Sus scrofa: one gene and its partner. The protein of the gene in region 1 interacts with the protein of each later gene in a pairwise test. Links are inferred from orthologs where the notes say so. Each region holds a gene or a part of one and is shown on either strand. Other genes may lie near its edges.

Region 1 (2,542 bases):
CCGCCCACACTTACCGATAGTGCCGCAGCCAAGAGCGAGGCCATAGCGCCAGAGCGCGGAGCGTAGGTCCAGGCGGCCACGGTCTGGGGACTCGGTGTCCGGAGGCCGAGCCGGGGCCGGGGGGCGGGTTAAGGCGGCAATGGCCAGGGAGGCCCAGAAGACGCCCTGGCCGGCACAGAACAGCCCGAGGACGGCGAAAAAGCGGCCTCGTTCGTGCTCGAAGAGCAGCACGTCCCGTGGCGGGGCTGCATCGTGCAGGGCCCGGCGCGCGGGTCGGGACTGCAGCGCCAGAAGCAGCCGCGCGGGTATGCGTGCCCCGGGCGCCGCCATGGCCCCGCAAGGGGCGACTTCCGGGGCGGGACTTCCTGCCGACGCCTCCTCCCCGCCCTCCCGGAGTCCCCGTCCGCCGCCTCCGTCCCCGCCCTCTAGGCCCAGCCCTGGCCTCCCTTCCGCCAGCACACGCAAAGGGCAAGGCTAATACAGAATTGCACGCTCTACACAAAATACAACATCACTCTTTATCTTAAAAAGTAGGAAGGATCGTGGGGTTAAGTACACAAAGCACCTAAGTCCTTTGAGTAGTTTAGTGTCAGTTCTACAAAGTAAGCTTTGGCTTCCTGGCACCAGAGGCTCAATCTCCTGGAAGTCTTCCAGAAGGCAGGTGAGGAGAGGGATCCAGCAGCACCCCCTCCTCGGTCACAGTCAAAGGGTGGCCTGGGGGCCGGAGAGGCGACAACCATGGCAACGAGACATCAATATATCCAAGGGCTATTTACAGGTGCCTTCTCTTGGAGCACAACTATGGGTCACTTTATGAATGCCACTTCTGGGATCTCGCCCTTGGCCTTAGGGAAAAATAAAAGGTTGGTAGAGTGAGGTGGATGGCACCCATGCCCCCAGCTTACTTGACCCTCTTGAAGGCTTGGAGATCTCTTTTTGCCACCCATTCCCTTACCTTGAGATGAGTAAAGGCCTGGGCAGATCTGGTGTAGTCCCAGTTGTTGTCCTGAAGACACCTGGAGCAGGGCAAGAACAGACACCTCTGTGAGAAACAACCACAGTCATTTTGATCACCAAAGGCCACTTCAAAATCCATTCTAGGGAGATCCCGTTGTGGAGCAGCAGAAAAGAATCCGACTACTATCCATGGAGATGCAGGTTCAATCCCTGGTCTTGCTCACTGGGTTGGGGATCCAGCACTGCCGTGAAGGTCACAGATGTGGCTCAGATCCCACAATGCTGTGGCTGTGGTGTAAGCTGGCAGTTAGAGCTCTGATTCGACCCCTAGTCTAGGAACTTACATATATGCCTCATGTGTGGCCTCAAAAAAAAAAAATCCATTCTATAGAAATACACGCCTGAGTTTGCCAACAATTATATACACGCTGTTATACTCTATACAAATGAAAAACTGGTAAAAATCCAAATGTCCATCAATGGTCTTTTGATATTAAGTAACTATTTCTACTAAATAGCTAATAGAAACAAGACTAAGGTAAGTTTTACACTAATAGGGAAAAATGCTCATGGGATAAGTAAAGTCAGTTGCAGAACAGTATAAAAAAGGGACTTCGCTTTGGCTTTAAATTGTTATGCTAATTTACGCACAAAGAAATTTTTTCTCAGGGACAATCTTTTTCTTTCTTTTTTTTTTTTTTGCCACGCTCACAGCATACATACCTTCCCAGGGCAGGGACAGAACCCACACCACAGCAGTGACCCAGGCCACAGCAGTGACAGTGCTAGATCCTTAAGCACTAGGCCACCAGGGAACATCCCCTTTTTTAAAAGCAATTAAAAAAAAAAAAGGTCTGGTTTTAAAAATTTTATGGGCACTCATTATTCACCACCAGCCCTACCTCAGTTTACCCCTGTGCCTACACAGGCCCAGTACTCACTTCTGGGACCACTCAAGGTTCATGCCAGACTGGGTAGAGAATGCTTGCAGCATTTCCTGCTGTTCTGGGGAGAGGGTGGGCACTGGGCTGGAGGAAGGCGTGGGCGCCGGCATGGCGAAGGCTCTTTGGATCTCATCGGGACTGGCATTCCGCACAAACAGCTCGTCGTTTACGATGCACAGCCTTGGAGACAAAGAGCACCTTAGACACAGCGGGACAGACAGAGAACCTCATCCTCCCACCGTCACTCCTCGTTTGACACTCAGATTCCTTCAATACCCACGAGGTCCCTTCATCATTCACCCCCTTTCCTGTGGACTCTATGTATGGGATTACCTACCAAACACGCTAGAATTAGACATTCTCCCCCAACCCACAGACAGTTCTTAGCCCTCATTTATTTTCACAACAGACTCAGAAAGTGAATGCTGTTAAACTGATTTGCAGATGAGGAAACTTGCCCTTGGCTAGAAGTAGTGGAGCCAGGATGGAAGACCCAGGCAGCTGGACTCCAGAGCCAAACCCTTCACCACTGTGTGAGCCTCCTCTGCTCCCTCAGCCTTTCTGAAATTCTGAAAATGCCCAGAGGGGTGACTCCACCGTCCCCACATTTCACAGTGGTGGGGGCCAGGGATTGGGGACTG
Region 2 (4,312 bases), on another chromosome or scaffold:
CTTAAAAAGTATTCCCAACTAGATTATCTACACCAATAAATTGGAATTCTATTATTTTGCTTTCATTTTGTCTTAAAAAAATGAAGTAGCAACGCTATTATATCAGTCACACAGAGGACATGCAGATTTAGCAGTATTGATATTATACTCTATCTGGTTGGAATTAAAGACACCCTGTACCCACAAGTACACCAACAGCAGGTCACACATTAACAGTTGTAACTAAGCACTGTGACAAATTAATCAGTTCTTCCCACATTAGTCCCTAATAAAACAAAAAAGGGAAGGGAGCAAAACAAATTGTTACAAAATGGGCCATGTAATTTTGCCACAATTGCCAGAGTTTTAAAGAGTAAAGCAATTGTAGCCAAATATAACTGCATAAAATGTTTTCAAGTGTTTTAAGATAGATGTATATAATCACTTTAAACCCTTGCCTTTTAGTATAAGGTCAATACTGCCAATTTCATCTGTGACAATAGCACTTGGAGTCATACCATTGCCTCCATTATTGATCTGATCCTCCTCAATCCTCCTTTTGACAATCCTAAAATGATTGAAATGTGCTCCACAATCCTTAATCCAAAGCATTCTTAATCCATCTCTTCAGATATGTCTACAGAAAGACACATGAAAAGCAAGATAAACATAAGAACTTCCCCAGGTAAGATAACCACCAACACCCCCAACATCCCAGTTCACACAAACCAGAGCAGAATAGACATTTACACAGTATCACAGTCTGAAGAGCATGGAGAGTTAACTAAATTTAAACAATCCTGTCTATGACATCACTTAAAATACAATTTATCAGACATGAGGGGAATGTAGATGTTAGGAGCAAGGGGATATTACACAAGAATGCAATTCAACACTTTAGCCCACTCTGAACAAAAACAGTTTTGAATTAAAAAATGAAAAGATTGTACTGAATAAAGGAAAACTGTATACAACATGGGTTCTACAAAAAAGTGTCACCAATCATCTTATGTACGAGAGCGAGATCTGCTATGACGGGGAGAATAGCGTGGTGATCCTCTGCTTCTCCTTGGGGAATAACTGCGACTCCTGCTGTTGCTTCTGCTACGGCTTCTGCTACGACTACGGCTTCGAGATCGAGATCTTCCATAACTTGGACTTCTGGGCCCATCAACTTTAACCCGGATGTAGGCAGTTTCTCCCTATTGGATAGACAGAACTTTCGATTGAAAGATCTAAGCTTTCACCTGTCTTCAGGCATGCTGAATGAATCAACGTAACTCAAACCAGAAATCTGGCACTTTACTGGGTTTTTACTTGGACACCCTTGCCTGAATCTTACCTTCAAATTCCACTGTTAAGACCACTGTATCCAATTCTGGCCAAGGAAAAGAATATAACCTACCTCATGAGATCTAAACTTAGTGTTATCCAGTTTTCGAACTGCATAGGTCATATCTTCTTTCCGTACAAACTCCACGACACCAGTGCCATCTCGGTAAACATCAGCATAACATACATCACCTGCTTCACGCATGTGATCCTTCAAATCCTGCCAGCTTCCACTTGGAGGCAGTCCTGAAAAAGTGCGTTTTCTTTCAATACCAATTATCCTAAGTTTCACATTAAACATAAAGGTTACATTAAAACAAGACTTAAAACCAACGGTCTTTAACATCCCGTTTAACGAGCTGTTAAAAGAGTTCGGAATCAAGAGTCCAAAATTATTTGTAAAGTTAAGGCTCTTCTTATCTTCTAGGTACTGCAACCTAATTCGCTAAGTCTCAAATAGAGTAGTCCTTGTTAACTAAAGTCACCCAAGGCACTCCGGTTTAAGTGAAGACCTGGCATGAAAACACCAAGAAAAACTTCAAAACGGTGTGCGGTCCCCTTATCATCAATCCGCACGGACCCGCCAACTCACCAGAGACAACCACTCTGTTTTCAGAACGCCTGGATGGGGGGCCATAGCGCCCTCGGGGAGCCCCGCCGCCACCACCCCCGCCGCCGCCTCGGCCGGTACCACGGCCGCTTCGAGGAAACTCCACCCGCAGACGGTATCCATCGTAATCATAGCCGTCGCGACCATACACCGCGTCTTCTGCGTCTCTGCGTGACCAGAGAAAGCCAAGGGGTAAGGAAAAGAAGAAAAAAAAAAAAAAAGGGCCAGGAGGGGCGGCTCACTCCGCCGGGGAGCGAGCGGGCCCCCGCACATGCGCACCGGGGTGGAAGAGCCCACATGCGCCGCATAATAGGAACGGCCCCTCCCCCACCCAGAAGCACGCCAGGCTCCCGACCACTCCAGCAGCCCTCGGCGCCTCAGTTTCCCGCTCCGAGCCTGCGAGTCGGCTCTAGGGACGTCCGTGGGGCCCGGCCACCAGAGGAGCCACGCCGACTCGGCTCCTTACTCGACTCCTGCATGGGCGATATCGTCTGGCCCCCAACCCAAGAACCCACCGCCCCATTCCCCAAGTGAAGGCCCCGGAGCCTTCCCCAACTACTCCAACCTATTTCCTCAAGGCCGCAAGCCCCTGGCCGCCTCACCGCGGGTCCTCGAACTCAACGAAGGCGAAGGGCGGTCCTCCGCGGCGATTCTTCAGGTCGATGTCGCGGATAGCACCGTATTTGTAGAACACGTCCTCAATGTCCTTGGTTCGGATGTCTGGAGGTAAGTTACCCACGTAGATGCGGCAATCGTTGTTCCCTGCCGGGCCACGGATCACACCACCTCCCGACATGGCGGCGACGAAAAGCGCGGACTCGAGAACAGGCCTTCCCACCAAGCCTAGCGAGCGGGAGAGCGAGCCCGCAGCGACACCACGTCTCCCGCGGCCCCTCCAAAATGGCGCCTTTATCAGCTCGGCGCACGGATATGGGGGGGAGGGAGGAAGAGAAGCGGGAGGAAGCAGCTATTCGATCTCACTACGCACGCGCAAGAGCGTAACGGGTGCTGCGAGAGTGACGCTCGCGCAAGCGCGACGTCACCCTCCGCGCGAAGGGAAAAAAGTTCCCGCCTTCCCGATTTGTCGAGGGGTTTAATAAGGGAGTGACCAGCCTTGTGGCAAAATTAAATATAGAGCTCTCGTAAAAGGGGTTATTAATCTCTGTCGAATCCTAAAGAATCAGCAGTTTCCTCAGGAATGTTTCTCTCAAAAAAACGGCGTCTTGAAAGTATTTGGTGAAACCTAGCCTAAAGCTAGGTCCCACCATGCTCTGCGCTGTTAACGGCCTTTGGCGGGAAAGACTGCCGGGGGCGGAGTCAAAGGGGGAGGGACCAGGCGGTTGCTCCGGAAACACGGGCATCCTTGGAGAGTGCACCTCGTTCAGGAGTCGCGTTGCGGGTGAATCAACGCGGAGCCGAGACGTGACTTTGTCTTCCCGCCCCATCTGCGAACGGGCCGTGGACTGCTTGGACGACTGTCTAATGCAGGGGAACCTGGCTGAGACGCTTTAATAAATATTCTACGCTAAGTACCGTTCCACCTTCGGTTCAGAACTGACCTCAGTTCAACGCTCCTTGTGCTCGTGGCGGTAATTCCTGGCGGCATCAGCCAACCAGGACCCAGACCTCTGCTTCTTTTTTAAATCACCTATCGCCAGGGCCCAGCGCAGCGGAGAGGTCCAGTGAAGGTTTGCAGAATGAATTGTGTCTGTTATTTCTACAACGTCTTTCAAAGAACGAAAAAGACGCGCGCCCTCCTGTTTGTATTGCAGAATCCTGACGTTCCTTCCTTTTTTGGAACTCATTAGCAAATCTCTCAGGTAATATGAATGAGCAAAGTGGATGTGTGAGGATTTCTGTGACCACTGGAGACCGAAGTGGCGGCTTAAGGACTCATCTCGCCAGCATGTTGGTCCAGGGAGATAAGAACTTGTTACATTTTGCCACGGAGCCATCTGAAATCTGGATTTTTATATGAAATACTGGGATTTTAAAATATTAATGGTGAATTCAAATTAAAAAAAAAACCCTGTCATAAATATGCTGAAACAGGTCTGCACCCTGATTGAGAGGATGATTTTCTTCATTTTTATTTATTCGCATCAATCCCTCTCCCCAGTGATGTGATGCTGTTTACAGAGATACCAGAAAACGTTATTGCAATTGAATGGAGAAATCACGGAGAATATAAGGGGAAATTAAAATGAAGTCATGGATAAAGTTAATACACAAAATGGCTGCAGTAAAAATTTGTGAGTTCTAAAGATGGATTACAAATTTGACCCTAGTCATCATGGCAGTCACAGTAAAGAAGGAAACAGTATATTCAAGATCCAAAGTGCCTTAAAAAGATTTTTCAGAAGGTCATGTTTTCAGTTCTAAAAGGCGATT

What was found.
Region 2: the proteins of NXF1 (region 1) and SRSF1 interact in binary tests that used the Homo sapiens proteins (3 or more experiments, as listed by UniProt). The link is inferred for Sus scrofa from reciprocal best matches to the Homo sapiens genes NXF1 and SRSF1.

What each region holds. Positions count from the first base shown.
Region 1 is NC_010444.4:8,979,950-8,982,491, reverse strand, and holds the end of NXF1 (nuclear RNA export factor 1), read right to left. Parts: intron 2,082-2,542; coding exon 1,899-2,081; intron 1,780-1,898; coding exon of another isoform or gene 1,758-1,779; exon of another isoform or gene 1,743-1,757; intron 1,017-1,742; coding exon 956-1,016; intron 846-955; coding exon 807-845; 3' UTR 505-806; downstream 1-504.
Region 2 is NC_010454.4:34,279,312-34,283,623, forward strand, and holds the start of SRSF1 (serine/arginine-rich splicing factor 1), read right to left. Parts: upstream 2,808-4,312; 5' UTR 2,718-2,807; coding exon 2,524-2,717; exon of another isoform or gene 2,097-2,523; intron 2,089-2,096; coding exon 1,904-2,088; intron 1,558-1,903; coding exon 1,385-1,557; intron 1,182-1,384; coding exon 987-1,181; 3' UTR 1-986. UniProt on the Homo sapiens protein: Plays a role in preventing exon skipping, ensuring the accuracy of splicing and regulating alternative splicing.